7 separate regions of the Mus musculus genome follow, and regions 2, 3, 4, 5, 6 and 7 are each reported to be linked to region 1. Evidence: microRNA targets listed by miRTarBase, many of them from high-throughput screens and not tested one by one. Region 1 holds a microRNA gene; each other region holds the end of a gene's coding sequence.
Evidence for each region. The annotated mature microRNA mmu-miR-804 reads UGUGAGUUGUUCCUCACCUGGA and lies in region 1 at 2,172-2,193, opposite strand. An mRNA with a match to its seed (bases 2 to 7 or 8) in the 3' UTR can be bound and repressed. Matches are read on the target gene's strand: a 7mer-m8 pairs with bases 2 to 8, a 7mer-A1 pairs with bases 2 to 7 and ends in A, and an 8mer does both.

Region 2: the mRNA of Med18 is a reported target of mmu-miR-804. Seed matches in the 3' UTR shown: 7mer-m8 at 1,575-1,581.
Region 3: miRTarBase lists Gnl3l as a target of mmu-miR-804. Seed matches in the 3' UTR shown: 7mer-m8 at 1,947-1,953 and 7mer-m8 at 1,204-1,210.
Region 4: miRTarBase lists Zdhhc3 as a target of mmu-miR-804. Seed matches in the 3' UTR shown: 7mer-m8 at 2,733-2,739.
Region 5: miRTarBase lists Lrrn4cl as a target of mmu-miR-804. Seed matches in the 3' UTR shown: 7mer-m8 at 2,365-2,371.
Region 6: the mRNA of Gcnt4 is a reported target of mmu-miR-804. Seed matches in the 3' UTR shown: 7mer-A1 at 2,077-2,083 and 7mer-A1 at 1,956-1,962.
Region 7: miRTarBase lists Pdxk as a target of mmu-miR-804. Seed matches in the 3' UTR shown: 7mer-m8 at 2,805-2,811, 7mer-A1 at 2,687-2,693 and 7mer-A1 at 809-815.

What each region holds. Positions count from the first base shown.
Region 1 is chr11:50,355,628-50,360,058 of GRCm38, forward strand. Mir804 (microRNA 804) reads right to left here and starts at 2,252; the gene lies at 2,158-2,252. It overlaps Cby3 (chibby family member 3), which reads left to right and starts at 2,134. Exons shown (of 2, transcript NM_029691.1): 1 at 2,134-2,176; 2 at 3,413-4,075. The coding sequence starts at 3,627. The coding sequence ends at 4,049.
Region 2 is chr4:132,456,150-132,460,580 of GRCm38, reverse strand. Med18 (mediator complex subunit 18) reads left to right here. Exons shown (of 3, transcript NM_026039.3): 3 at 468-1,852. The coding sequence ends at 1,021. Among named protein-coding and RNA genes, the nearest start is that of Med18, 5.6 kb to the left of the region's middle.
Region 3 is chrX:150,982,634-150,987,064 of GRCm38, forward strand. Gnl3l (guanine nucleotide binding protein-like 3 (nucleolar)-like) reads right to left here. Exons shown (of 16, transcript NM_198110.2): 16 at 500-3,553. The coding sequence ends at 3,471. Among named protein-coding and RNA genes, the nearest start is that of Gnl3l, 32 kb to the right of the region's middle.
Region 4 is chr9:123,066,567-123,070,997 of GRCm38, forward strand. Zdhhc3 (zinc finger, DHHC domain containing 3) reads right to left here. Exons shown (of 7, transcript NM_001372538.1): 7 at 1-4,052. The coding sequence ends at 3,795. It overlaps Tgm4 (transglutaminase 4 (prostate)), which reads left to right. Exons shown (of 14, transcript NM_177911.4): 14 at 166-992. The coding sequence ends at 307. Among named protein-coding and RNA genes, the nearest start is that of Tgm4, 34 kb to the left of the region's middle.
Region 5 is chr19:8,851,555-8,855,985 of GRCm38, reverse strand. Lrrn4cl (LRRN4 C-terminal like) reads right to left here. Exons shown (of 2, transcript NM_001013019.3): 2 at 2,077-4,331. The coding sequence starts at 4,326. The coding sequence ends at 3,607. Among named protein-coding and RNA genes, the nearest start is that of Lrrn4cl, 3.0 kb to the right of the region's middle.
Region 6 is chr13:96,946,926-96,951,356 of GRCm38, reverse strand. It overlaps Gcnt4 (glucosaminyl (N-acetyl) transferase 4, core 2 (beta-1,6-N-acetylglucosaminyltransferase)), which reads right to left. Exons shown (of 3, transcript NM_001166065.2): 3 at 443-4,431. The coding sequence ends at 3,792. Among named protein-coding and RNA genes, the nearest start is that of Gcnt4, 24 kb to the right of the region's middle.
Region 7 is chr10:78,437,165-78,441,595 of GRCm38, forward strand. It overlaps Pdxk (pyridoxal (pyridoxine, vitamin B6) kinase), which reads right to left. Exons shown (of 11, transcript NM_172134.2): 10 at 3,973-4,039; 11 at 1-3,749. The coding sequence ends at 3,637. Among named protein-coding and RNA genes, the nearest start is that of Mir6410, 4.6 kb to the left of the region's middle.

The DNA.
Region 1 (4,431 bases):
AAGTAAGACTTAGCAGTGACAGAGGCTTAGCTAGGTTGCTTACAGAGCTAGTTGTGCAATGCTTGTGGGTCTTGAGTCTGCCCTCATCTTCACTTCCCTGAGAGAGGCATAGCCAAGAACTGGTTTTCCTCTTTGTCCCTCCTGCTGACTCAAGCAGAGGCTGAGGCCTGGCTGTCTCTGCTAGGTCATGCCCGATTCGTGTTTGCTATCCTCATTCCACCAAACTAGACTGCTGGTGTATTGTGAAGTGTTTGTGAGTGGATCGAGCTGCCGCTGCTGACCAGTGAACTGAACTGCTGATTTCCTGACAACCCAGATGGGAGTGGCTCCAAAGAACCTTTCTAAACAAGTCCACTTCTCCCGAATCCTTTCTTTCCCACTACTTCTGGTGGGTGGTGGGCTACAAGGGAGGTTAAAGCATTTAAGAACCACCATTAAGGGCCGGCGAGATGGCTCAGAGGGTAAGAGCACTGATTGCTCTTCCAAAGGTCCTGAGTTCAATTCCCAGCAACCGCATGGTGGCTCACAACCATCTGTAATGGGATCTGACACTCTCTTCTGGTGTGTCTGAAGTCAGTTACAGTGTACTTATGTATAGTAATTAATCTTTAAAAAAATCATTAAAAGTAGGATTTGAAAAAAATTAAAAAGTTACTGGAAGAGTATACAAATATCATGCAGGAAGCCCTGGGCTCAATCTGCCCCCAAAAGTTTCCATTGCTACACTCTGGACTAAGGTTGCACTAAAATTCCTGGAGGGCAATCTACATGTGTTCTAGAGCAATACCAGATTCCTTATGCTCACCTCCCATCCACCCCATTGCCAAGAATGTTGGCTTAAGGTACTGTGTGCCACAGCCTATAGGCTGGAGCTGCTCAGGAGACTAAGATGGGAGGAGGATCACTTAGGCCTAGGAGATTTGAGCCAGCTTAGGCTAACAAAGTGAGATCAGGTCTCCAAAAACCCAAGTAAGGGGCCTGAGATGGCTCAGTGAGGGAGGGGCCTGCTGCACAAGCCTGAGACCCTGAGTGCAGAACCCCAGTTCTCATGGGATTGAGTGAGTGTGGCAGCCTGCATCTCTAACCCCAGTGCTGACACGGGACACTGACACACACAATCTGCAGGGTACAGCAATGTCTGTCTGGAACTTAAGGGAGAGACAGAATGAGTAAGATCCCTCTGCCCTATCTTCATTAATACAACACATGACTTTCATAGCTGGCCAGAAGTCGAGTGGTACCCAACTCCCACCTTGTTCACAGAGTGCATCTCTGGGAGCTCTCTCTCACCTTTGATGTCACTACAACTCCAAGAAGACACTTCCCTGGCAAAGGTGGGGGTAGAAGATCCCTACAGCTTTTTGGCCAGCTGGCCTTTTGACTCTGCTAACTCCAGGTTCAGTGAGACTCTGACTCAAAAAATAGGGTGGAAGACCAGGCAGGTTGGTGCACTTTTGATCTCAGCACTCTAAGGCAGAGCAAGTGGATCTCTGTGAGTCTGAGGCCAGCCTGGTCTACAGAGCTAGTTCCAGGATAGCCAGGACTCCATAAAGATACCCTGCCTTTATGTTTATAATAAGTAAACAAACAAGTAAGGTGAAGAGTGATCAAGAAGATACTGGAGGTTAGCTTTTGGCCAGAGGTCACACTACCCATACTCCCACCTTCCACATAGAAGCCAGAAACATATGATTATAATCCGGCTGGAAGGCTAAGGCAGGAAGCAGGCAGATCCCTTTGTTGTTGTTTTGTTTTGTTTTTCCAGATAGGGTTTCTCTGTGTAGCCCTGGCAGCCTTGAACCAGGCTGGCCTCGAACTCTTGAAACCCACCTGCTGCCACTGACTGGCTCAGGAGGATTCTTACTAGCCTGGGCTACAGGGTAACCTGGGCTATCCTGTCTCAAAAGGACCTAAATCAAAACAAAGATTTAAACAAAATGAGGGGTGCGATTTTATGATTGAACGTCTTCCCTCCCCCAGAACAGTGCCTGGAGCACAGTCAATGCTCCGGAAACTTCCCGTAACTGAACACACTTCACTGTCTACACCACCTCTACCCTAGGAGGCCTGGCAGGGAGGCATTGTGAGTCACAGCTGGCAGACAGGTGGGTGCCATAACCCAGAAATGGGGCCAGGCCTGGGACAGCAGCTTGGGCACCGCCACCACATCTTCCAGGTGAGGAACAACTCACAAGGAATGTCAGGAAACAGTCTACTGGGGAAGTTGTAACCTCAAAGATGGATGTGTAGGGACTTCCAGAGACTCGCTCCATGAGTTAAATCAGGGGGTGGGGGAGAACACCTGTCTCTGCCCACCTGCACAATTCTGTTGGGTTTAATGAAGGTGTGGCAAAGGAAACCCGACAGCAGTTTTCACTCCTGCCCTCGATGGCAGGAGAGGTATTTGAAAAACCACACTGTAGAATCAGCACTTTATAGGTGTTGTGAGAAGAGTTAGGAAGCAAGTAAGATGGGTTCTGGTAGTTATCTGGGCTTTAGATTCCTATCAGTAGTTGGCTAGGAACAAAAGTTAACTCTAGTGTGCAGCATTCTAGTTACTTGAAAGCTAAGTATGGGTCTAGGCTAAGGCACCTACCTGTCTGTCCTATGATGTCATTGATTACACTGGATGTTAATACACGCCTTTCCAGCTGGACCAGGAACATCTTGAGGATAGACAAAGGCTGTGCTTGTGGTATCCTCTGTGCAGGCCAGACCTGGCATGGAGCAGGTGCCAGTGCTAGAATGTGCTAGACATCTCACCAGACAGATGCTCTGCCGAGTTCACACTAACCCTGACTTTGCAGCCATCAGCAGCCTCCCTTAAAGAATGACAACCACAATGTTCAATTTCCCTGTACTGTACCGAAAAATGCCCTCTGGCTCACCTTTCTAGCCTACGTTTCTGCTATTCTCGGAACCAATCCTATTTGTCGGCTCTTTCATGCATCTGGAACATGACAGCCCTTTGCCTCACAGCTGTCAGCAAGAAAAGGCCTGTCCTACTTGCTTGGCTACTGATCTCTACTTGTGGCCCCCTACCTGTGGTCTCTTCCAGCATTTCAGAGAACGTGGTTTCTGGGCCTTTACATTATCTCTTTTTTTGTTTGTTTTTCGAGATAGGGTTTCTCTGTGTAGCCCTAGCTGTCCTGGAACTCACTTTGTAGACCAGGCTGGCCTCGAACTCAGAAATCCACCTGCTTCTGCCTCCCAAGTGCTGGGATTAAAGGCATGTGCCATCACTGCCCAGCCCTACATTATCTCTTACACACCTACATCCTAGATAAAGGGTCCCGGGGAGGTAATTTTGGTGAACACGGCTGGTGTGACTATGCAGGAATGGGCTCCCCTACTAGCCTACAACTGCAGAGTCTAGCCTGAGCAGGCCGCTCACAGGCCATTTGCTTTCCAGCAGTGCCACTGGCTCGCCTTCACCATTCCAGAACATCAGGGTTCCAGACACCCGCGCGCCCCGCGTGGCCCACACCACCTTCACCCTGGAGGCCTTTGAGTGCCTGGCGGCGAGCCAAGCGGGCCGCCTGTGGAAACAGGTGAGGCAATTCTGGGTCGACCACTTCTCGCGCCGCTTCTCGCCGCGGAGGCCACCGCTGCGCCATATCTCATCCATGTCCACCTTCTATCTGCTGGACCACCGCACGCGACAGGCCGAACTGGGGCTCAACTACGGCGAGCCGCGCACCCGACTGAGCGACGAGGCCTTCGTTTTCCGCGGCGGCCGCTGGACCCCAGAGGGGAAGCGCGCAAGCGCGCGCACGCCTCTGCCCTCCTCCACCATCCCGGCCTGGAAGCCACAAGTGCAGCCGATTAAGAGCCAGGTGCTGCTGGAAGAGAATAACTACCTGAAGCTGCAGCAAGAACTGCTCATGGACATGCTAACAGAGACTACGGCGCGCATGCAACTGCTGGAGAAGAAGGTGGACGCGGATAACAACCCTGCGGCCCCGGCGCGCTCCTGGAAGAGAAAGATGCCCAAGCAAAGGGGCGCGGGAGTACTTATAATCCAGCCGCGCGCTCTGGAGTCGCGGTGATGCAATAAAGTTGTACCTAAAGCAGGGCCGCGAGTACGCGCCTCGCCTTGCCCCGCCCCGCCCTGGTGGCCCGGGTGGTCCACTTCCCTTGAGCATCCGGGTTTTCCTTGGGTGGAGCTGCGTGTGGCAGAGATAAGTAGGAGGGGGAGTTAAAGCGCGTGAGACGCTTGGGCAGTGCGGGAGAGGGCGCTTGGATTTTTCTCCAAACCTTAGGTTCTGCTTTCCCACACTCTTTGTTTTGTTTTCTATTGGCGAAGACTGTGATTTTATCATACGTGGAATAAAGACTTCTGTTTGACCCAGCATTAAAAAAAAAAAATGTATAGGAAGGGGTGGCGCACGCCTTTAATCCAAGCACTCGGGAAGCAGAGGCAGGCAGATC
Region 2 (4,431 bases), not on the chromosome of region 1:
AGCTGAGAGCTACAGCCTGAGCCACTGACAGAAAGATGGGGGCCCGCTTTTGAAAACTCCCACTGACACACCTCCTCCAACAAGGACGTTCCTCCTAGTCCTTCCCTAAACAATAGGAAGTAGAGACTAGACATTCAAATCCAGGAGCTGTGGGGGCTACTGTCATGCAAACCACTACCCGGCATTTGCTGCTAAGTCAGACAACCTGGGTTCAATCTGGGACCCACAGGGAATCCGTTCTAGCGGGTTATCCTCCAACCAACATTTATGTGCCATTGTATTCTCGAGTTTGCCGAGACAAGAATGACTAAATATAAAACGTTTTGAATAGACAAATAAATAGAATCCCATGGATTGTTCTTAGAAAACGTTGCATAGAACTATTTATTTGGTGTGTGTATCTTTCGCTGGTTTCATGACCCTAAATGAAATGAAAGCCGGGACTCACTGTGCTTGTGCCTCTTCAGGAAGTGTTTTGGACCACAGTTTGGAAAGCCTCATCCATCGCCTCCGAGGTTTGTGTGACAACATGGAGCCTGAGACCTTCCTTGATCACGAGATGGTCTTCCTGCTTAAGGGCCAGCAGGCCAGCCCGTTCGTCCTAAGGGCCCGGCGCTCCATGGACAGGGCAGGGGCACCCTGGCATCTGCGATACCTGGGACAGCCCGAAATGGGAGACAAGAACCGCCACGCCCTGGTGCGCAACTGTGTGGACATCGCCACGTCTGAGAACCTCACGGACTTCCTGATGGAGATGGGCTTCCGCATGGACCATGAGTTTGTCGCCAAAGGACACCTGTTTCGGAAGGGCATCATGAAGGTTGTGGTGTACAAGATTTTCCGAATCCTGGTCCCAGGGAACACGGACAGCACCGAGGCCCTGTCCCTCTCCTATCTTGTGGAATTAAGTGTTGTCGCCCCGGCTGGGCAGGACATGGTCTCTGATGACATGAGGAACTTTGCAGAGCAGCTCAAACCTCTGGTTCACCTGGAAAAAATAGACCCCAAAAGGCTGATGTGATGAAGAAAGTTTGTCGGCCTTTTAGGCCTGTCCCCACCTGGGAGGTGAGAGACTTCGAAAGTAGCCCAGGTACTGCTGCCAGCCGGGCCCACTTCCTTCCAGAAGATGATGGCGAGACCTGGTTCCTTTCAACTGTTTCCTTCACTTGGTAATGTCTCTTTTTTCTTGCAACAGGGTTTTACCATGGAATTCACTACATAAACTAGCTACCCTGGAACTCAGGACCCTGTACTTCCCGCCTAAGTGCCTGCAAGGTCCTTATTAAACCTGACTGTTCATCTTCTTGATAGGCTTTTCCAATGAAAGACCCAGGATAATATGGAGATTTGTTCAAGTCCTCCCTCCACTCAAAAAGAGGGAACTGGAATAAATTAGCTTTTCAGAGGAAAGGTCAAAAAACAACTCATAATATTTTGCTTTTTTTTTCTTTTTTCTCTTCTTTTCTTTTCTTTTTTGTTTTTTTTTTTTGTTTTTTGTTTGTTTGTTTGTTTGTTTGTTTGTTTTGTTTTTCAATACAAGACAGGGTTTCTCTGTGTTGCTTTGGCTGCCCTGGAACTCACTTTGTAGACCAGGCTGGCCTCAAACTCAGAAATCCACCTGCCTCTGCCTCCCGAGTACTGGAATTAAAGGCGTGCGATAACACGCAAGCCCGGCTGTTTGTTTTTTTTTTTTTGTTTTTTTTTTGTTTTTTTTAGAGAAACATTTTTTATTCCTTTATTTATTTGTTGTTTTCTTCATATGTTTTAAATTGTGTTGTTTTGCCATTGATATACAAGGTTTACAATGGTGGTGTGAGCCAGCATTGTGTGGTAATAAAGACTGAAAAGACTCAGTTGTGATTCTGATTCTTACTCGTCTTAACTCCTTCCTAGTCTACTTCTATATTGCTATAGTTCTGTCTTACTATTGTTGTTATTGTGTATGCTGTGGGGGCCTCTCCAGGACCCACATGGGAGAAAGAAAGAACCGACTCCTGCCTGTTGCCGTCCTGTTTCTCCACAGGATTGGTTGAGTCCTGCACCCACATGTGTGCACACCCACACACAAATGTAATCAAAAACATTCAAGTAGCTGGTGATGGAGAGGTGGCTTAGCTGCTAAAGAGCACTGGCTGCTCCTGCAGAGAGGACCAGGCTTAATTCCAACACATCCTTGAGTGCTGACAACCTTCCGTAGGAGTCCAGTTCTAGGTGATTGGATGCTCTCTTTTGAAGTACACAGGCACCAGGCACACACTCAGTACACAGACATGTTCAGGCAAGAAAAGGGCCATGTGCTGGTGGTGCATGCCATTAACATTAGTCCTGGCACTCAGGAGGCAGAGGCAGGCAGACCTGTGGTCTACAGTGCAAGTTCCAAGACAGCCAAGGCTACACAGAGAAGAAAGACAAAAGGCTCATAGTCTTAGATTTGAAAAGTCAGATACTTTTTCTCCTTCTCCTTCTCTTTTTCTTTTTCTTTTTTTTTCTTTTTCTGCCAGGAAAACTTTCAGTCCACTTTCTTTTTTATAGGAGTCTTACCCAGGATCCTACCAACAGCCTTAGTGAAATTTACTGTTGGCTCATCTACCTTCTGTTTTAGATTACAGTTATTTCTTTAGGTCTCACGTGTGCATGTGCTTCTGTGCACATGGGATCAGAGGCCAGCTTCCAGCAGTTCTGTATTTTCACCATCCGGGGCCTGAGTGTGGAACTCAGGTTGTCCGGCCTGGCAGCAAGCTCCTTTATCCACCTTTCCTTTCCAGATGAGATCTCTCACAGCCTGCAGCTCAGTTTCATCTAGACACCAGCCAGGGGCCCCTTAGCTTTCTTCTTTCCACCCTCCCTGCAGCAGCAGGGTTAGCAAAAGCCAGTCACTGCCTCCAGCTGCTGCCCGGGACCTGAACTCAGGTTTGTGTGTTTGCTTAGCAATGTTTTATCCCCTGAACTACAGCCCCGGTCCCTTGCAGTTATTCTTTGTAGAGATGTTTTAATCTTTCATGAAAGTAGTATATTTGAGCCATCCTGTTATCAGGGCATGGGGAGGCTGAGACAGGAGGATCACAAAATCCAGGTCAGCGTGAGCGACAGCAAGATCCTGTCTCAAACCACAGGCACACTCAAACACACACAGAGGAAAAGGACATTTTTGTTGATGGAACATTTTAAAACCAATAAAATACCAGAGATGGTTCTATTTTTGCTACACCTGCATGTGTAGCTGTGGAGGTCTACAAACCACTGCCTGTACACTGTGGTTGCTAGGTTTTGGAACTTAAAAAAATTTATTTTTTTCTCAGCCAGGCATGGTGGCCCAGCACTCAGGAGGCAGAGAAATACAGATCACTAAGTTTGGGGCCAGCCTGGTCTACAGAGTAAGTTCCAGAACTTTTTGTATACCAGGCTGGCCTTGAATTCACATAGCTCCAGCCTGCCTCTTGCCTCCTGAGTGCTGGGGTTAAATGCCTGTGCCCAACAAGCCTGGCCATAACTCACTTTGGATCTTAGTTTGTCATTCAGAGGAATGGATTGTAGTCCAGTATAGACTGTTTGGCTAGCATGCACAAGATCTATAACTAATACCACTCATGTACAAGTTCCCTGACTAATCCCACTCAAACACAAACACACAGACTATCAAGCAAGGCATAGTTTGTCCTCATTTGTCCCAACAACCAGAGAAGCTGAAGTCTGAGGAACACTTGTGTCCAGAAACTTAAGATCCAGTTTGGACAATATAGCAAGACCCAGGTGGGAGTGGGGTTTTGCATCAAGAGACAAGCAGACAGATTTCTGTGCGTTCGAGGCCAGCCTTCTCTACAGAGTTCCAGGTGAGAAACTGTCTAAAAAAGTTTTTTAAAGAACCCCAAAATGAGCTGGGCATGGTGGCGCACGCCTTTAATCCCAGCACTTGGGAGGCAGAGGCAGGCAGATTTCTGAGTTCGAGGCCAACCTGGTTTACAGAGTGAGTTCCAGGACAGCCAGGGCTACACAGAGAAACCCTGTCTTGAGAAACAATAACAAGAAGGAGGAGGAGGAGAAAGAGAAAGGAGCGGGTGGGAAGAGAAAGGAAGAAGAGGAGAAAGAGGAAGGAGGAGAGGAGGAAGAGAAAGGGAGGAACAGGAGGAAGAGGAGGGGAGAGAAAGAGGAAGGAGGAGGAGAAAAAGTATTCCTTCACAGTCTTTGCTTGCATTTATCCCTCCAAGTTCCTACACTGAGGGGCTGTAACCTGGGGGGTTGTGAGATGAAACAAGCCCTTTCTTTATTCCCCAGGTTGTTTTGGACCATGGTATTTACCACAGCAACAAAGCAAACTAGGACAGGCTGCCACTGTGTGTTAGTACAATCACTCAGACACTGCTCCTTAGTGTGTAGCCTCCCTCTGTTTCTAATCTCTGTGTTTATTCTGTACTAGACAAAGTCTTCCTTTCC
Region 3 (4,431 bases), not on the chromosome of region 1:
TAGATAGATAGATGGATAGATGAAAGAAAGAAGGAGAGGGAGGGAGGGAGGGAGGGAGGGAGGGAGGGAGGGAGGGAGGGAGGGAGGGAAGCAACCATCATACAAAACAACAATACTAATTCTGGATCTATGCTTGAAGGAATCCAAGTAAGGAGAGCACAGGGGGAGCTGCACATTCATGTTTGTCGCTATATTGTTTACAAAAGACAAGCTGATGACCAGCCAAGATATCCATCAACAGGTGGATAATGTGTGTGTGTGTGTGGCTCACAACCAACCATCTATAATTTCACTCCATGGGATCTGACACCTTTTCTGGCCTCTGTGGACAGGAAGCCATGTACATGATACACAGACACACATGCAGGCAAAATAATATTCTAATGTGCATCAAGAGAACAAAGAAGTTCAGCAGTTGCTTAGATTGTTAGTCATATGCTTACCATATATTGCAGCAATCCAACTCTAGGTAGTAATGCCAAAGAAATGAAAACAGTCTCACACAAGGATTTTTAGCAGCTTTATTTATAACTTCCTCCTCAACTGTAAAGAATGTAATCCAACTTAGGGTTGAATAAGCAATAAGACATCCACACAATAGCATATGAAACAGAAATCAAACTATTGATACATCCAGTGATATGGATCTCAAGTCTATAATTTATAACACATTAATCTCAAAAGTTACATACTATTAAATTCCACTTACAACTCTTTTCAAAAGACAAGCCATAAAGTGAAAGCACAAGTCCGTGACTGTCAGGGAGAGAACAAGGTTTGACTATAAATTACCAGGAATGGTAAAGGAGAGGCTAATAGAACTCTTCTGTCCTGTATTAATGATTACTCGGCTTTATCCATTTATCCGAGCTTATACAACTGCATCTAACTTCAATGTAAGATCTAAAAGGAAAAAGCTAAAAGCTTAATGCCATAAAATAAGCCCCCGTGTGACTTACGACACTTATATTAAGGAACAGGAAAGAGGTCTGTGCCTGCTAGGATTTGAGGATGGGGGCAGGACTATACTACAAGAGGACACAATAAGTTTGGGGAAATGCCACAAAATTCTCTTATCTTGATTATGATGGCAGGCCACCCCTGTTAAAAGGTGTCTAAATAACCGGGCGTGGTGGCGCACGCCTTTAATCCCAGCACTTGGGAGGCAGAGGCAGGCGGATTTCTGAGTTCGAGGCCAGCCTGGTGAGTTCCAGGACAGCCAGGATTACACAGAGAAACCCTGTCTCGGAAAAAAAAAAAAAAAAAAAAGGTGTCTAAACTTACAGAACCATAGAACCATGAAGGATGAGATTTATTGTATAAAAATGATTTTTAAGGGGAGAGTAAAGACCCAAGAAATTGTTTTAAGAACAAAGAAATATCCAGGCATGAAAGCAAACACCTGCAATCCCAGCACTTGGAAAGCTAATGGGGGGGGGGCCTAAAAAGTTCAGGACCACACTGGGTTATATGGGGGAAACTCTCTCTCTGTGCGTGCGTGCGCATGCTACCCCCAACCTTGAGATACATTAGAGTTAGAATATCTAAAGTCCCACATTATTTTGTTTCGCCCTGAGACTGCCTCTTACTCTGCAGCCCAGGCTGGACTCAGCTTCAGACATCTTCCTGCTTCAGCATTCTTAGTGCTTGGAGCACTGGTGTGAGCCACCCACCTGGTTTTAGTTCTATTTTATTTTGACATGATTATGTTCCCAAGAATCTAGATACTTTTATTTCTAATATATTATTGTCTAGCAAAACTTAAGATGAGATCAGTGAATTAAGTTGGACATCATTTAAAGAGACTTAGAAAGCATAGTTTTTCAATAAATACTACCATTTTTTAAAAAACAGAGCCGGGCGGTGGTGGCGCACGCCTTTAATCCCAGCACTTGGGAGGCAGAGGTAGGCGGATTTCTGAGTTCGAGGCCAGCCTGGTCTACAAAGTGAGTTCCAGGACAGCCAAGACTATACAGAGAAACCCTGTCTCGAAAAACCCAAAAAATAAATAAATAAATAAAAATAAAAAACAGAGTAGAGAAAATATATTTTAAATATATGACAACAGAAAATACCAGAGTGGTGTGCCCTTGTTGAAAAGGCAAAATAATGCAAACCAAAAGGCTAGCATAAGGTTTAAATTAGACTCAAGTTTGACATCTAGCACACCACCACTTACTGTTGACATGAGCACATTCTGTCGGCTTTCTGAGCCTTACCCCTTCCTGATACGGATATAGTGAAAGTTAAAGGTGGTAACTGTTTCTCATTGTTTAGTAGTTTGTGCTCAGCCCCTAACCGTCCAGAAAACAGGTACGGTCTACATTTCCTGAACATCCTGCAGCCAATGGCTTTCCAACTTACTATGATAGGTATACCCTTTCTAGAATCGTCATCCTCTACACTATCCCCAGACACTTCCAGAGACAGGAGACTCACACTATCCTTCTCTACTCCTACACTACCCAGATGAGGAGCTAGCTATTGATTTGGAAAATACACAGGCAAGAGCCTTGGCACTGAGATCTTGTAGGGTGATAAAAATGAAAAGGATCACCCATCCAGGGACAACCGCCACCTCCCCCGCCACTGCTACCAGGTTTCTCAGCAGTCTAGCCTTTAGGACATTTACCTGTCCAAAAGGTTAACCCTTATCAGCCTAACTCACAGGGTACGACACAGGAATTTAGAGTCCAAGGTACATTGTCAGCACTTGGACTCTGCTTATTTGCTTTTTAAATAATTACAAATTCTTTTTGTTGTTTTATTGTTCACTTTTCGAGACGGAGTTTCTCTATGCAGCCCTGGCTATCCTGGAACTTGCTCGGTAGACCAGGCTGGCCTGAAACTCACGAGATTCATCTGCCTCTGCCTCCAGAGTGCTAGGATTAAAGGTGTATGCCCAGCTGGACTCTGCTTATTTGTTTTGGGCTGTTTTGTTGAGAAAGGGTCTTGCCAGATAGTTCAGGCTGGCCCATAACTTACAGTCCTCCTAGCTCCAGTCTCCCAAGTGTCAGGGTTATAGATATGTTGCCACCATGCCAAGAGTCTGCTGATTTTATTTACCTTAGAAAACACAGTGGGAGCTGGGAATGGTGGCAAAAGCCTGTAATCCCAGTACTTGGGAGGTTGAGTAAGCAGACTCCCCAATGATAATGATGGATGGTAATGATGGTAATACTACAGCTTGGTAATAGAATGGTTGTCTAACATTTGTGAGAACCTATTATGTTCAATCCCTGGCACCACAAAACAAACACAAGGTCATTTTCAAAGACAGGAAGGATTAAGTAGAGGGTAGTAGGGTTTGGCAGCTCCAGACCTTTGATAAGAATGGAGGGCACGGCAGCAGAAGATACATGACATGGAGGTGTTCTCCTATTAAGTACATCAGGGAGAATGGAAAGGCATCTGGACTCTCCCATCGCACGGGAAGCAGTACTTGCAGTATGAGGGGGAAGGTCAGCTGCTCAGTCACCTGCACAGTCATCGGAGTTGCCAGAGAGGTCAAGCATGGACATCATGGAGTCAGACAACTTAGTGGCGATTTTATCTGTAGAGGGAGAAATACAGGCAATCTCTGGGTAGCTGCCTTAGCCAACAGGCCTGCCACACGTAAATAAAATCACTAACTTGGCCCATACCAACCTCCAAATCGGCTCAGTTACACGTCTAATCATTCAACAAAACAGGCCATTACACCTGTCAACCTCACAAGGAGATCCATTCACCTATAAGTGATCACCCCAGCATAGTTTCTTTCTCATGATTTCAGACTCGAAGGATTCCAAGTATTTTTGTGTCTTCTGAGTACTAAAATAATAATTTCCTTCTATTGTGTGAACTTAGCATTCCTCCATTACCCCTACCCACCCCCAAACAATCACTCATAGCAATGGAGTGCACACTAGTACTAGCTTTGAACTTGAGTGCTTACCACTCACAGTCTCATCCTCAAGATACACTTGTTCCTCGGGGTTCCCTGAGACTTCTCCAGACTTCTCCCTCTTCTGATCAGCCCTATCTCCAAGCTGGGCTAAGCTTCCTAGAAGTGCTTATTGTGTGTGTGACCTCACGGTGACTGTTCTACACTGCCACTGTTTGTTTTGTCTCCTCTATACTCTCTAACAAGACTTGGAGTTTAAGGGCAAGTCGCCCTTGGATTCCCAGGACTCACTGTAGAGCCAGAACAAGATAGCTATAAAATATGGCGTAGCAAAAAAAAAAAAAAAAAAAGATGACAGAGTCAATCAACACTACTTACATTTTTATACATAGTGTATATATGTATGCATATATACATTTTATACATAGGCTACATAGTGAGACCCTTTCTTTAAAAAATTATTTTATGTCTATGTATGTCTGCCTGAGAGTATGTATGTGAAGCACATGCTAAGTGCCTTCAGAGGTCAAAAGAGTTGGATGCCC
Region 4 (4,431 bases), not on the chromosome of region 1:
CTGAGACAAGTGGCCACCCTCCAGGTGGAGGCCTGCTTCAGTGGCTCTGCAGCACAGGGATTTCCCAAGATCTGTACTGGAACCGGATGCCTGCCTGGTTCCTCATGCAATGCGATTTTCTCTCTGTGGCACTTTTGGCTGACTGTGTGCCTTTGAATTTTCTAGGACAGTGCCACCTGGAAAGACCATCACTTTCCAAATGGAATGCACCCCAGTGAAAGCTGGACCCCAGAAATTCATTGTCAAGTTTATTTCCAGACAAGTGAAAGAGGTTCATGCCGAGAAGGTCGTTCTCATCAGCAAGTAGCACATTTGATACCATGGAGATGGAGGCAGGAGCCCTGATTGGCTCTGAGCCTTGGCTAAGCATGTTAACATTTTCTAAATTGCATTTAGCTTTCAGGTCAGGGATGGTTAAATTTGATTATGCGTGTGAAGGCACATTCAAGAGCCAGCCCAGCAAGACAGAGCTCAAAGGCCGATGTCACCACAGGCAGTAGCTCCAGGGAGCCAGAGAACCTGGGCACATGTCACAGGCAAACATTTCAAATACATATTTAGGAATTGTGGCCTCAGAAGACAGTGCCACCGTCATCTGGATTCAGAACCATGTACAGAGCCCAGATATAGAAGGGCTGGAGGCATCTTCCATCTAGACCATGGATTCTATCAAGTCCAGGGGTGCCTGGAGGCTGTGCTGGAAGTCTTATAGAAAGCATCTTGGAGCTGGTCCTGGGTCAGGCACTACACCCTCTTATCCCAAGGCTCTGTCCTCTTAGAAGCAGGCCCCACGCTGGCGTGAGGCCCTCTTGCTCTGGATGAGCCATGGGAGGTAGACCCTTTTTTTAAGTAAGAGTCTATGGCCAGTGACAACATCTGAAGAAGCAACGTATCCTGCCCTGTTCTCGGGAGTCTGTGCTTTGCTCTGCTGTTAAGGTATCTGCTCACATACCACTATGCTTTGAATTAAACTCTGGCAACTTTAAGATGGCTAAGTGGTCTGGAGTTAAATTTTCTTTTATGCCAGCATGCTGCTTAATTTAACCTCATTGCCTCTGAATTTCATGGATCCAGGTTGGCCTTCTTGGTCTGGGTCCTCTTCGTGATGGTCAACCTCTCTCAAGGGCTGTAATTCTAAGTGGACATGTGTTCCAGAGATACTCAGTACACACTGAATAAGGGGTATTTTGTGTATTTAAAGGCCATTCTTGCCTTAGGGTTTCTGTTGCTGTGATAAAACACTACGACCTAAAGCAACCTGGGGAGGAAAGGGTTAATTGCATCTGAGGGAAGTTAGGGCAGGACCCTAGAGGCATGGGCTAATGCAGAGGTCACAGAGGAGTGCTGCTTACTGGCTTGCTCCTCATAACTTGCCCGTCATGTTTTTTTCTTCCATCCAGGGGTGGCATAACTGACAATGGGCCTGGCCCTCCTACATCAATCAAGAAAATGCACTACACATTTGTGTAAAGGCCAATCTTACAGAGGCATTTTCTCAATTGAGATTCCCTCTTCTCAAATACCTTCAGCTTGTGTCAAGTTAATTTAAAACCTGTCATCTTTCCTTCATTCTTGAAACCAGAAAACCCCAAGTCCTGACTCCTTTTTGCCCAGATGCCCACCTCTGTGGCGTGCAGATGTCTGGTACATGCTTGTAGAATAACCTCTGTCTATGCTGGGGCCATGGAGGATCAGTTAGTGTTTGTGACACTTGTTTTACACACTAGACCTGAGAGGAAGGACGTTGTCCAAGGCTTTGGGCTAGGATCTCCTGCTAAAAAATTGGCGCCTCTAGCCACAGAGGTAGACCAAAGAACTATTATTCAAAGCAAGAGGCAGGTGTGCAAGCAGCCTCTGGCCCAGAAACACTGGGCCTCCTCTTATCAGCTGCAGTGCTGAGTAGAATCTCAGGAGTTGCCATAGAGAGAAGGCCATTGGGTTCTGGTGTGAAGGCACAAGGCCCAGGGCTGGACAGACTACTACCTACATGATCCTGGCTGTCCAGTACACAGAAGAAATATGGCTGAGGCCTGACATGGTAATGGGTTAGCTGAGGAGTATGGAGGACCTAAAACTGGGAGCAAAATGCACACTTCAACCTTTCCAGGAAAAGCACTCTGGAAACAAATGGCTGTGGGCTGGGAGGTATCTCTGCTGCAGGTCAAGCTGTCCCCAAGCAAGACTGGTTTTAGCCTCAATGTACAGGACATTCAGTTAACAAATCCTGACTCCAAAGCTCCTTCCTTAATTTAACTGCTGCTCCTTGGGGACCTAGTCACTAGCTCTGATTTCTCCCTGGTATGGAATCTCTGGTTATGGTCCAGCACCTGGGCCGTCCAGGTCTGTTTGGGGTTGGAGGCCCTACAGGTCTTTCCACATAGTGCCAAGATTAGGGACAACTTGGGTTCCTCATGTTATTGCTGATAAATGTTAAAGCAGACCTGCTTGGAGGAAGTGCACTTGCAGTGGGGTGGAGTAGGCCACATCTGCTAATGCTGAAGTCCTGCTGACACTGTGGCACTACCTAGGATGCTGCCCAAGAATCAGACCACCACTTGGCTCCCCACAGCTTTCCTTTCTCAGGGTCCTGAGACAGTACCTCGATTGACTCGTGTCATGGAGGTCACAGGTTCCACTGGCCCAGGACTCCTGCCCTTTTGCAGAGCTAGAGGAGCTGTGATACAATCCTCTGCCAGGGTCAGTGGCAGCCACGCTGGGGAATGGTTCAAGGGGTGAGTTGAGCTGGGTGTGTTTCTTGAGACTATCTAACTGGTTAGACTGCAGAAGCTGCCGCTTCAGCCACCACTGCAATGGACTGGGGAGTGCAGGAGCCTGCCCAGACTATCAGTAACAGCCAGATACCTCAAGCTCCAGTGGACAGACTAGGTCCAAGCTCATCCTGGGAGAGCAGTGCCTGGGGTCTTCCTGGCTTAACAGTCTGCATGTCCTGGCCACCATGCAGTTCTTCATTGTTTTTAAGACAGGGTTTCCCTATGTAGCCAGAACCATGTGGACCAGGTTCTCCTCAAAGCAACAGAGGTTTAGTTGCCAGCTCTAAATGTTGGGAATAAGGCATGTCATTAGGACTAGCAATGCAGTTTTCTGTGAGGCACCATTTTGGGCGCTGCTCTAAAATGCAAAGGAGGCCATTTCTGGTTGCACCTGTCCCCATGTCTTACAGACTTTTTCCAGGAGTTCAATATATGTCTTCACCTAGCTCTTCTAGGATGCATGCTTGTGGCTATAGAAAGGCTGACTGCCTTGTTGTCTCAGGGAAGAGTCTCGTATCTATAGGATGGCGATACTGTCATGACTCAGGCTCATTTCCATTTGGGTAGACTCTGTACGTGTGTATGCATGCATGCATGTAGGGTGCTCTTTCAACCAAGCCCAAGCCCTGACCGCAGGCTCAGCATACCCTCCTTTGTTGATTTCGAGTCAGCCAGCCAAGGAATCCCTTTCCTGGAAATGGCTGGAGTCTCTTTAGCCTTCCAGGCTGGTCTTCCTTGATGTTAGAGCATTCCTTCCCCAAGATCCCCAGCCTCCCCAAGACAGCCCTCAAGAAGCAGAAGTGGATCCCCCACCCCGACATCCTGGTCACCATTTCCTTTGCTGGATCACTTTTGGCACATCCTGTTAAGAGGAACTCAGAGAAAGTCCCTACTCTCCTGTACCCTCTATTGCCCTTCCTATCCCCCGACCCCAATCCTAATGGAAAAAAAAGTGTGGGGTGACAGAGTTGGTAACACTCATCAGGGTAGCAGCCACTGTTGGTGTCTTATCCTCCATGACTTCTATTCATCCAGCACCTCCACAGAGTCCCTGTCTTTTGTCGCCTCCAATTGGCTCTCAGCTGTTTCCATGTTGTCCACGTCTGACAGAGATGACACTTGACGTACCAAGCCCTTATCAATGGGTGTCTCTGGTTGACAAGGTCTGGTGAAAGGGTTGAACCAGTTCAGGGAAAAGTTCCCACCAAAAGCCTCCTGGACCGACTTCCAGCTGCCCGACTGCTCCCTGGGCTGTTTTGTTCGTTGGAGGCGTTCAATACCCTGAAGGAGAATGGGCAGAAGGTCAGTGTACTACATGAACACACCTTTTGCCTTGGCAGAGCAGGGGATGGGAATTTCAATATGGACGGCACAGCTTGCTGCGGCCCAGGCCACTTTTGAAGTCCCTTAGGGCTGCAGGGCAGAGCAGAAACTGTGAAGCAGAACAAGCGGGCCTGGCATTGGATTTGCCTGTCACCCACGTACTGCCAGACCCCTTCCTACAAAGGCAGTGGTCTGCTCCTGGGCAGGGACCAGATACCCAATGGCCAAGTATATCTTGGCTTCTGTAGGCATGAGCTAGACTATCACCTATGAAATCACTAAGAAGGGGCTGGAGAGATGGCTCAGTGGTCCAAAGGTCCCATGTTCAAATCTCAGC
Region 5 (4,431 bases), not on the chromosome of region 1:
TGAGAGAATAGACTTTTCTGGTTTCCCATTTTATCATTTTTATTCCTTCATTTCCATTCACAACTTTTTTGTTTTGTTTTGTTTTGTTTTGTTTTGTTTTTCGATAGACCATTCACAACTTTTCAAACTGCTCAGTCATTCATTCTCTCAACCTTTGTTGAGCTTTGAGACAGGACATGAAGAAGGAGGAGGAGGAGGAGGAAGAGGAAGAGAAGGAAGAAGAAGAGGAAGAAGAAATAGAAAATCCTCTCTGGGAGCAAAGTAGTGGGGGAGGGAAAATCATGTTTCCCATTCTGCCTAGTGCCCATTTGGCGCCACTTATTACCATAACTATACTTTTTGGCTACCATGGGTTCTTTTATCTACCACTCTTATTCCACCCCAATCCCTTTCAACCCAACACTAGGTAGACAAGAAAGGTTAAAGGGAAAAGGAGGCATAAATCGCTCTCTTTTTTAAAAAAAGATTTATTTATTTATTTATTTATTTATTTATTGTATACAAGTACACTGTTGCTGTCTTCAGACACACCAAAAGAGGGTGTCAGATCCCATTACAGATGGTTGTGAGCTACCATGTGGTTGCTGGGAATTGAACTCAGGACCTCTGGAAGAGCAGTCAGTGCTCTTAACCGCTGAGCCATTTCTCCAGCCTAGAGGCATAAATCTCTTTAGACTACTTCCTGCTGATTATTAGCATCAAGTTCCTTGGGACAAGTCCAATCTTCAGGATATCTCCAACCAGCAATCCAGCAAACAGCAAAAGCAACAGTAGGAATCAGCCTGCTGCAGCAGCCCCTGCAACCTCTTGGGGCTCTGGCATTTTTATACCCTATCAAAAGTCCCCAGAATTATGTGCTGCCAGAGCACAAGAAAAATCATAGCTGGTTGCTGTTGACAATCTAAAGCAGCCCTATATCCCACACCTGGGATTAAAACAAAAACGTGTTCCTATAACATATCTGTGTTTTTAAAGAAACCAAAATTCTCAGTACTTTCCATATAGAACTCATAACAGCACAAGTTTTTCTTAATTAACTGTGAAGCCAACATACTCACCTGGGAATGCATGCTCTTTCTAATTAAAGATGATAGAGCTATTTTCTCATGCTCTAAATGCTCACCAAGTAGCTGAGGCAAAGCCTGGGAAGGAAAGCAGGGCTAGACTAAACCATGTGAACCCTGCTTGCAGAAGCAAGTGTACTGGAACCTGCACGGGCTGCTTGGTGGTGCTCCAGGTGAGTGCCACACTGTCACCCACATGCACGGTGCTGAGGGCACTTAAAAGACTCCTGTTGAGGTTTGTAAATACCTGCTTAAGAGCAGTGCTAGTTTTAGTGTGTGTTAAAGCTAAAAGATGAACAATGATTCTTTCTTTCTTTTTCTTTTTCTTTTTTCCTATTTGTCATCTATCTATCTATCTATCTATCTATCTATCTATCTATCTATCTATCTATCTATCTATCTCTATTGAGACAAGGCTTTTCTGTGTAGCTCTGCTGTCCTGAAACTCTCTATGGACCTCCAGGCTGACCTCCAGCACAGAGATCTTTCTGCTTGCCTCTGCATCCCAAATGCTGTGATTAGGGGGTGCACCACCACCACCTAGCTTAAACAATGATACTTTCAATGAGAATAATAGACAAAGAAAACCTGAGCAAGTAACCGATTCTGTGACAAGGCCTCACTGGGTAGGTAGTCAGTCCTACTTGGCCTGGAACTCTGCAGCCCAGGTTTTTCACCAATTCACAGAGATCCTCCTGCCTCTGCCTCCAAAGTGCTGAGATTAAAGTCTGTGTACCATTACATCTGACTTCAGGGGTGGCTTTAATTTTTTTCCTAGGTTCCCTTATTCACTTATTGAGAACTTGGGTAATAATAGCTTTGTTTCCAAACAACCAAACACCAAAACAGCCCAGGGTGGTGGCACACACCTTTAATCTCAGCACTCAGGAAGCAGAGGCAGGCTCTGTGAGTTTTAAGCCAACTGGTTCTACATAGGGAGTTTGGGACTATAAAGGGCTATACAGTGAATCTCTGTCTCAAACAAACACAACACAAAAGTCTGTATATTACTTTGAAAAATAGTCATACCTTTAATCTTGGCCAAAAGTCTAAGTCATAATGAAAAAAATCTATATGGAATTAAACAAGATCATGAAACTGAAAATGTAATGATTTTAGATTCCCTTTAATGTTAATACAGTGGAAAAACAATTACACAAAGTTGTGGGGAGTCATTGGTATAAACTGTTAGTTACAAATAAAACCACTGCTGGGCGGTGGTGGCGCATGCCTTTAATCCCAGCACTTGGGAGGCAGAGGCAGGCGGATTTCTGAGTTCGAGGCCAGCCTGGTCTACAAAGTGAGTTCCAGGACAGCCAGAGCTACACAGAGAAACCCTGTCTTGAAAAAACAAACAAACAAAAACCCCCAAAACAAACAAGACCACTAACTTATGTAGCCAGAAGCTTGGGCCCTGTCTCCTCCAGCCCATGCTGATTTTTAATCCCCAGCTTCCATAGCCCCAGGTGGAGTCTGAGCAGGATCATCCTTAGGAAGGAAACAACAAGTAGCAGAAAGACAGAGCTCCAGTCTCCACATCTACCCTGCTTATTCTCAAAATATGCGTGGAAGCCACCCACAGTCGCAGAGTCCTTTTCAGAATAACAGGTGTTGGCAAAACTCAGCTTATTCTCAAAATATGCAGGGAAGCCACCGACAGTCACAAAGTCCCTTTGAGAATGATAGGTGTTGGCAAATCAGCCAACAGGCCAAATGTAGTCTGCTGCTTGCTGTGAGAGACCTATGAGCTATGAACAGTTTACATTTTTAAACAGCTACACTTCAAATTAATTTTTATTTTATGTGTATGAGTGTTTTGTCTCTCTCTGTGTGTGTGTGTGTGTGTGTGTGTGTGTGTATGTATGTATGTATGTATGTATGTGTGCGTATGTATGTGCCTGATGCTGGCAGAGGTCAGAATTAGACACTGGATCTCCTGGAAATGGAATTACAGATGGTTGTGAGCTGCCATGTGGATGCTAGGAATAAAATTCTGTCCTCTGGAAAAATAGCCAGTATTCTTAACTGCTGAACAATCTCTCTATCCCGCCCCACCTTTTGTTTGTTTTGCTTCTGTTTTACTCTTTTTGAGACAGGGTCTCACTATATTATCTGGGTTGGCCTGGAATCTTTCTATGTAGATCAGGCTGCTTTGGAAACTCAGATCCGCCTGCCTCTGCTTCCAGGGTGCTGGAGACTAAAATTGTAAACCACCATGCCAGGCCTTTAAATAGCTCCATTTTAACTGGCTATATATAAGTTCATGTATAATGTCTGTAATTTTACCCCTTCAAACCCATAAAGCTTAAATCATTTTCATCAGACCTCCAAGGAATAATTGCTACTTTTTCTAACCCCCAACAGGGAAGGAACATAGTGACCAGTTAGGGACTAACCAAGCCCTCAGTGCTGAGGCTAATTGCCTGGGCTTCCGCTCTGGCTTGGCTGTGCCTCTGGTTGCCAGGTGGCAACAAGCCCCACACTCCTCCTGGGAGTGGGTTGGGCTCTCCAGATGAGTTGTTTGTAGTCGAGGGGACTCCTGTCAGAGAGCTTCTGACGCTTGGGCCATACCTTGACGTCGGGGGCAACCCCATCGCTCACGAAGGCAGAAATGCCAAACCAGGGCTGCACAGCTCAGCAGAGCTAAGGCTGTGCCCACTCCCACGGCTGCATAGACCAGGGTAACAGGCTTAGGCGGCATGATAAACTTGCGACAGGGCCCAAAGGAAGGGCCAGTCCAGTTCTCAGGACCCTCGACTTCTGCCCCAGGAACATTGCTCTCACCTGCGTCATTAGCAGCCACCACGCAAAGGACATAAGCAACCCCAGGCTTTAGTCCCTTCAGCTCTGCTCTTCGAACTGTAGCATTGAGAGGGGCACTCTTCTGTGGAGCCCCGTTGCTTTCCCAAAGCAGAAGCCAGTAGTGGCTGACTGGAGAGAAGGGAGCACACCAGTGAACCACTGCGTAGCCTTCTTCAGCCATTATTTGCACTTCTCCCAGGCGAGGAGGCTCTGGCTGTTGATCTTCCCTGGAGAGCCCTGGGCACAGGCAGGCTACTGGCCCAACCTTCTGCAGCTCCTGGCAGGACACCTGCAGGTGGCGGCAACGGTCATAGTCGCAACGGACAGCTAAGGAAGGTGTAGCTACTGTCACATCATCCTCTTCCCCTTCCTGGTAGTCTTCCAGGGTCAAGATCTGAGGTTGGGAAACCAAGGAGGTGGTCATGGCTGCCAGCCACAGAAGGGAAAGAGAGCCCAACATGGAGTCTGGAAGAGAAAGAGTGAATGGGTAAATGCTGTCAGCCCTGTCTTCCAGGGCTATGTGAAGTATGTGAAAAGTACACTATGTGAAAAGTACAACATAGAA
Region 6 (4,431 bases), not on the chromosome of region 1:
GCCTGGGGGTTACCAGTAGGTGCCCAGCCCTACTTCTGCATGACTTTCAACAAAGAGCTCTTCCAAGAGAGAAGATAAAAACATTTTCCAAGGGTTAAAGGGATAAAATGTAGAGACCTCTCTTGGGAACTTCCAGAAAGTTATCAGGCCATCAAAATAATCTTAGAGACCCAGATATATAATAAATAATCTTGGATGAGAGATTAAGGTAAAGACGGGCAACAGGCCAGCCCCAGAGGATCCCGAGATGTCGCCAAATAAGGAGTCGAGTTCCATTCCTGTGTGTTTTGTTCCATTCCCGTGTCTATACTCTGAGAGCGAGGTACTGTGATTCCTTCACACTCCTGTGAAATGGACTCTGTTTGCTAGGCCACTGCTACAGACAAAATGAACTTTGGGGACCAGCACACCCAGCGGCAGGAAAGCTCACAAGTCCGAGGAGTTGGATTTGAGGAGCACATTTTATTTTGCAATGCCAGAAAACTAACATAATTTAAATAAACAAAAAAAATCACTATTCAAAACCCATACATGGGAGATTTGTTACTAAAATGGTAAGGGACAAGGACAACACGGTAAAGGAGCCATAGAGAGTGACAAGGAAAACATTGTACCATTCACAGAAACAATTTGAATATACTTAATACATTCGTTTCACATGAAATACTTAAGCCTGTATATATTCACATTCTGGAAGCCAAGAGACAGCTTTAATTTTCAACTTATTTTATGTGCATGTTTTGCCTGCAAGTATGTCAGTCTACCATGTGTGTGTTTGTGCTTTCTGAGGCCAGAAGAGGAGGGACACCAGGTCTCCTCAAACTGGAGTTACAGATGGTTGTAAGCTGCCATGAGGATTCTGGGAATTGAATTTGGATCCTCTGGACAAGTGACCAGTACTCTTAACTGCTAAGGCATCTTTCTAGCCCTAAAGTCTTTAATCTTTCAATGTGTTTTATTATTTAAAGTAGGCAAAAGAAAAAAATAGCAGTACTGGCTTTTCGATATACAGTGTCTATGGTACAGTATACGATTGCTCACATATTTTGACAGCCTTCATTTTTCTTCTAGTATTCACATACAATTCGTAAACTCTCACCTTTAAGTAAATTAGAGTCTAATTCAATAAATACTATACAGAGAACAATTATCAAACAGTGTTGTACATTCTGAGATTTGGGGAGGGCTCATAGCAAACGGTTTTTGCCAGAATCAATTCTGAAGACCCTGCAGGATTCCCAAGGCAAGAGCCAGTGCTTTGGCGAGCTCTCTGAAATACAAGCGGTTGACGTTTCTGAGTCCAGAGAAATGTGTCCATGGGGGAAGGAAGGCATGCCACTTGGTCTGCCCATCATCCACTTGAAAATAGCAGGGCAGCATGCAGCAATTTGAGACAATTCCTAATACCAGAGAACAGGGGCCTTTCTCTGCAGAAAGACAGGGGACAAGGTAGATGCTTGCTGCATGTTGCCCTTACATTCTCCTTGATGACCGAAGTCCTTGAGTTTGATCATGCATGGTTATCAACGTTTCTCTAATCTGCATGCTACTATGCTGTTGGCTGTACAAGAAACTCCAAATGCCATGACAGGGTTTTTTTTTTCTCAGCCCTGAATCTGGTGGCAGAGCTTCCCCTGCAACTCTGGCCTCTTGTGGTTTAAAGGCTCATTTTCAATTCTCACAATGGACCTGGTTATCTTGACACTGTCACCAAACTGATAGTTCAAATTTTGTCTCCCCTTCATGTGACATTTCCCTTGAAGCTCATGAGAGCCTCCGAGGAAACGACAGCATGTTCAGTGCCTGTGCTCAGTGCACAGAGAGCAGAGCCCATGGAGGCCGATAGGATGGTTTTCTTAGGTCTCACCCACCCACAGACCTGGGCAGATTCTCTGTGAGGCTCCTAAAAACCTGTAATACATCTGTGTGCAGGTGTGCGTGTGCAAGCCTGTATGTGTGAGTACATTTGTGTGTGTGTGTGTGTGTACACACTGATGGGTGTAGGTGCCACTGGAGGCCAGAAGGTGGCACTGGTTTCCCTACAACTGGAGTTACAGGCAGCTGGGAGCCACCTGGTGTGAGTGCTGGGACCAGAACTTGGGTCTTCTGCAGGAGCAGCACATTTTCTTAACTGCCGAGCCACCCTCTATACTTCATCATCTAAGGATAGAAAGTTGGTGACAGACGTTTCCCTGGGAACAAAAGCATCCAAAGGGTATTGAAAGAGGTGCAAGGTGACTTAAAGATAAAGAAATGGAGCAAAATGGGGCCACAGGGCAGCTAGTGCTACGAACCATTATATACACCAAGAGCATGGCACGTGCAGAGCACAGAAGTGTAAAATGATATTTACGTACTCCAGTCTTTCAAATAATCTGATTTTGGCATTGATCACCACATAATTAGTTATTGGGGCTGATATCAAAACACAAGGAATTTTTACATGTGTCCTACCCTCCACAGAGACTGGTGTGATGTTGCAGCCTGTTCTCAGGGTTGTGGCTCAGCAGCACAATACACAATACGTTCAGTCTCAAGGTGCCTCTGCCCCTCCCCCATCCGTGTGCATGTGTGTGTATGTGTGCATGTGTGCATGTGTATGTGTGTGCATGTGTATGTGTGTGCATGTAAAATGATTCTAAGTGTGGGTGTTTGTAAAATAAGGGTAATAATATTCTCTTTGGTGCTCAGTTGAGAAAAATGCTGCACTAACAGGAAGTGTTAATAATTTTGAATTTTGACTCCATTTTCGTTTAAAAAAGGAAAATGAGTAAGTGACCACAATAACCAACCGAGAAAGCTGTCATATTTCACAAAGTCCTTCTAAGAAAGCTTACTGACTTGGCGGTTACATAGAACTATGAACCCTGTCAGAAGTGTTGGACTGCGGCAAGGATACAATTGTAGCTCTAATGTTACCTGATGAAATGACAGGTGTAGGCCTGGAGTTCTGGCCTGTGACATTTTGAACTAGTTCTCAGTTTTATCTTTATCAGTACCTGTGTTTTAAAGAAACAAGTGAATTAAAAAGAAAGCCAATTGTGACACCATTGTATAACAAATGCAAAGCTGAATGGAGCCTGTGTTCCTCTCCAGCACTGGCTGTCCCCATCCACCCACGCCCGCCCCTCTGCCTTCTCAGAGAACCATACCCTACAAGCATCACACCACAGCACTCCCTCTACCCTGAATCAGAAAAGTGAGGCACCAAAAGGTAAATTATACTTTGGCAAGCAGGCGATCGGACCATTCTTTGAGCTTCTCTGAGGTAGTGGAATCCCTCCTCCTAATATTCTAACGATTTAAAAAGGTCTCAGTTGCTAAAGTGAGAGAAGGGGAGGGCTGGCTTCACACTCCCACACTTTTCAGAGGGAATGGCTTGTACGATTAGCACACACCCCAAAGTTGGCTTCAGTAGCACCCTCGTTACACAGAAATAAGAAACACAACAGTTGCCACACTAGGAGGGTAAAGGCTGCTTCCTGAGGGCACAAGTCATTGCAACTTAGACTTAACTCCTGGGTGTCTTTCTATAAAGTGCCTGGTGCGCTGTTAGGTGTTCAATAAATGTGATATCACTGAACATTTAACATATCTGACTTAGCAAGACGACAAGCAATTTCAGCACTTAAACACCAGCCAACTGTGGGCTCGAAGTCCAGGCATGGAAATCCGTAGAAGTTTCATCCTTGGAAAAACTATTAAGTTCAGATGCTGTTGGGCAGGACATGGGTGTGTAATTCCATCTCACTTAACTGTTTGTAACAGACACCCTCAGGCCCTTAGTCAGCTTATAATGTGTGGCTTTGGCGGGTTCCCTCTGTCATGAACTTCTCTGAAGACAAAGCAATCAACTTTCTCTGTTGCTCTTCAAGTTTTTCTGCCAGACATTTCATCAAGATGGGGTCAACTTTAGAATCAAACTTATTAGCAAACCAATGCCCTTCGTTTAAGAGCCACCGTAGTTCTGCAGCTCCGTAAATACACACACTTCGAAGGTGAGAGCCAGTGCAATTGGGGTAGAGAAAGCCTTCGTAGTAAAACCATTTGACCAGGCGGGTCTTACTCTGCAGGTCAGACACGTCCTGAGATGAACTGGAAATTCCCCCGGGTATTCCTGGTATCCGGATTAAGGTGGCCCAAAAGTGCTCGTCAGGAGAATATGTATCTTTAGACCAGGCAAAAAAGTCTTCAACGAGGGAGCTGTTGAAAATATATTTAACAAATGCTCGACTTAAAACAAAATAGGCACTGCCCACAAATACCTGAATGTTATGAGGGGGTGCCCCCTTGGAGACGTTCGTCTTTACTGGTAGCTTCATATAATCATAAGGCACCTGTCTGAGCTCATGATGGTAGGTGAACCTCTCCGTCTTAGCACTGGGGGGTCTCACCGTCTCTAACATATTCCTTCCTTGGAGACTTTTCAGC
Region 7 (4,431 bases), not on the chromosome of region 1:
TGACCCCTCCCCCATCATTCAGAAAATGGTTTCAGGATGTTTTTTTGGGACTCACTCAGGCCTGAGCTTTGAGGGGATCTTCCTGCTCTGTGGGATATGAGAAGGATATGCTAAGCCCATGTCCTCTATTGTGTTCTGTCACCGCCCCCCCCCCCCCGGACATATCCTCCATGTCAGGCATGAAACTGGCAGCTCAGAGGCTTCCAGAGCCCCCAGTCCAAGTCACCTACACCTGCCTGCATGGGGCACTGCCTAGCCCTGCAAGGCAGGCCATGAGGTGCAGTCATGGCTTTACCCAACGTCTCATGGGACCTGCTGGCTCTATAGGATGGGCAGTGAGGTATGGCCAAGGTTATACCCAAGGCCTTCTGGGAGCTTCCAGCCATGGATGTCTGTTCCCACCCATCTGTAGCTTCAGGGCAGAGGCAGCCCTAACTGGCTATTCAAGAGCTGACGGGGACAGGGTGGGGTTCCCACGGGGACAGAGTGGGGTTCCCACGGCATCAGGGAGACCTTTTCCACCTGGAATGTGTATCCTATTGCACAAAGACCAGAAACTGCCTGATGGTGAAACAGGGGAAGGAATGAGGAGATGCTGGCCCAGGGGAGCTCAGCCACAAGCAGGGAGGTAATCCAAGGGAGATGGAGACGCCTGCTCTGAGGATATCCTCTGCCTGCTTCAATAGTGGGGAATCTTAAAATTGTGTTTATTCCACTAGAAATTAAAAAAGAAAGGAAGAGAAGGAAGAAGGGAGGGAGGGAGGATGTAAGGAAGGAGGCAAGAGTGGGTAGGTGGGTGGGTGGGCGGTGTGAGTGTGGGTGTCTTACTCCATAGCTCTCCTGCTGCCTCAGCCTCTAGGGTGCCTGCCACAAGAATAAACCAGAGTCAGCAAGGAAACACAAACTGTCAGTTCTGGCCATGCTGACGACACAATGGCTTCCTGGGATGTCAGGCTGACCTGGGGACACACTGACTCCCACTTACTGTCAGGTGTTGCACAACGCCAAGTCTGAGGCCCAACAGAAAGATGTACACAGTAAAAAACAACCACCAAATCTCCCAGCAGGATGGCTGCTGTTTAATCTGCTGGTACCAGCATCCACCTGGGCCTCTGACACTGCTCCGGCTCCACCCCGACCCCTGCTGGTGGATACTGAAACTGCAAGTGGAGGTAGAAACCTCTCTTCTCTGGTTCTGCAGGACTGGCACCATCTACAGCTGTCACAGAAAGTGTGGGAAAGCATCAGGACTGGCACATGCATGTCCAGCCGCACCTCCATCCCAGGGTGCGTCTCTATCATTCAGGGGGTTGGGGAGTGACATTCACTCAGACCTGGGAACCAGGTTCAAGCCTTCCCTGACTCACCGCTTTCCCTACAGAGACTGCAGCTCTATTGTAACCTCACATTGAACCTGACCTCCCAGAACTGCCCCTTGGAGGGACACCCATTCTTAGCATCCACTGGTGGCTTTTGTGGTCAGCATCCATCTGTCACATGGACAGACATGGCTTTCCAGGACCTCTCAGTGCAGGTAGCTGCGTGGATGTCTGGAAGAGAGGCACCCCAGATAGCAGCAATAAAAGGGAGCACTGGTCATATGTGGTGTGGTGATTCCTTCCTAGTATTCAGGAGGTGGAAGGAGATACTTTGAGACAGAATCAATGTCCCCAATAGGAAGCGGCTAACCCTGGGCTAATGCAGCTTCCTTCCCAAGCACATTACTTCCTTACTAAAATAAAGTAAAAGTAAAAGCCAATTCTGATTTGGATACTAGGGGCCTGCTGTCTTTGCTTTCTTTTTTCTTGGGGCTCAGAGGTGCCACATTGGCACCAGGTTTGGACACATGTCAGGCTTCATGGCCTTAACAGAGAGCTTGCTAATCTTGTCCTGGGGTACTGATGACCAAAGTACTTTTTAAAATTACATTGTGTGTGTGTGACAGAGAGAGAGAGAGAGAGAGAGAGAGAGAGAGAGAGAGAGAGAGAGAGAGAGAGAGAGAGAGAGAGCCCAGTTCTCTGCTTCCTTCAAAGCTGTAAAAGGCTTATTAACGGACACCTCAGAATACGGGCTGGTTCAGGTCCATGTGGACCAGCATCTATCTCCTCCATCTGGGGCATCATAATGGGGAAAGGGTGTCGCTCTCAGAGCTCCATGGAGACCCTATGCTTCTGGGGAAGAGGTAGGCATAATGCACTCTTCACCTCTCCCAGTCTCCCTGGTCTCCTTAGGCTGTGGCTTCTCAGAAGATAGATATCTTAAGGACTGAGGAGCAGGGATATGGGTGCGGCTCGCAGCCATGATTAGGGACCCTAAACTCTGGAAAGCAGAGCCAGGAAGTTCACCCCCGAGCAGTAGACAATGGGACACGTCACAGTCCCCAGCTGGGGTCTAAGAGCTGCCCCTGCATACACAATGCCAATGTGCTCTGTAGAGGAGAAGACCTTCCAAGGAGGCAGAGGCCCTGGCTTCACATCAGGGCCCCTGGCCCCTCAGCATGAGGTGGGCACAGAATCCAGAAATGAGGGTGAGGGGAGTGGAGAAAACCCGCACTTCAGTCTGCCACCAGGGGGCAGGAGCCACCTCTGTCTCTCCTTCCCTGTCTGTCCAACCCCCTGTGCAGCAATGCACTGTCCCCAGCAGCATGTGGCAGGTGAACTGCCACCTGACAGTCCTGCAGGGGCTGTGTGAGTGCCCACAAGAGCCCAGTGAGAGCCGGGCATGGTGGTCCACGCCTTTAATACCAGCACTCGGGAGGCAGAGGCAGGCGGATTTCTGAGTTTGTGGTCAGCCTGGTCTACAAAGTGAGTTCCAGGACAGCCAGGGCTACACAGAGAAACCTTGTCTTGAAAAATCAAAACCAAAACCAAAACCAAAAAAAAAAAAAAGCCCAGTGAGGCAAACTTCCCTGAATTCCCAAGCTGCCCTGCACTCAGCTCCAGAGTTACAGGAGACCCTGCAGACACCCAGACGGCTTGCAGATGTCCTGGAATGTTCCCGTTCCTTAAAAGGTCCCTGTCACAGTGACCGCATGCTTGTGCAAGCACGGGGATATGAAACCTTCCCTCGCAGACCAGCAGCTGCATTCGTCTGACATTCTGGGACACCACCCAAAGAGCAGCAGAGACACAGAAACTCTAATGCAGGAACAAGGGAAAGACCAGAATGGCAAAGAAGATATTTGGCATAATTCTTCCAATGCCAACGGTTAAGACCTAACCCCATTTTAAAGACAGCGCCGACACAGGCAGAGTCTATACACAATCAGGACTGTGTATACATACACAGGGGGCAATGGCAGCCAGTGACCAACAGAAAGGTCCAGAGGCAGCAGGCTGGTCTCCTCCACCTACCTTCCACATACCTATGAGGCAACATGAGGCAGTCAGAGGCCCAGGGCCTTTGGGGAAGGGACCATGGTTGTGAATCACACATTTCTACGACGGCTTTGTCATTTTTTAAAAAAATAGCACAATGGCACATTTTTCACGCTAGAGACTGGCTGAGACCCGACTCTCGGGAAGGAACACGGATGTCGAGTTTCAGTCATGGCTCTAAGGCAGACGTTACAGCTTTTCACAGGGATGGAGACGGACACCTCAGCTGGCTGTGTGTCGGGGCGAGTGGGTGTGGTCCTCACAGCACTGTGGCCTGCACGACGATCTCGGGGTCCTCGATGTCCCTTTTGCTCTGGACCATCCTCAGCTCCAGCTGAGCGGGGCTGGGCTTCTGTCCTTCTCCTGCTTCAGCTGCAGAGCACAGGGAAGATCAGAGCAGGCAGGATGGAACCTAAGACACCCTTCCCTCTCCCATAGTTCTGAATTCCTGCTTCAGGAGGGGGTGCCACACTGCCCCCTGCTGCCTCACTTCTAACATAGCAGGAGGCAGAGGCTGGAAGGGAGAGCTCCCCCTCCCTCTTGTCCACCTCCAATCAGGGACTACTCCCGTGGAAGACAGAGCACAGACAGGTACCTTTTGCACACCGGATGGTCCTCTGTAGGACGTGCTGCATGGCAGACACGGTTTTCTCACAGGCCACCTATAGAGAGGACAGAGACACAGGCAATGGCCCACCTGCTGAGCATTCCTGTACAGAGGGCATCCTCAAGTATCAGCTCCCCCAGTCACCACGGAGATGGCCTCACTGTCCCTCACACCCACACTGGACACAGCGGGGCCCCCACTGGGCTGACTGCAGGATAGCTCCCCCCCCCCCCCCACTCCACAGATGTTTCTGCATCAATCTGTATCTGGAGGGTCCCCCAGAGCACATGCTAGAGGCTAAGCCCTCTGTCTGGGGTGCTATTGGAGGGATAGCAGCTTCTGGAGGTGGGGCCTGGTGCAAGGTCTTTGCTTCCTAGATGCCACCGTGATGCACAGCTACAAGTTGCAAAGCAACAAGGTCAGCTCACCAGGGACAGATACCTCTAA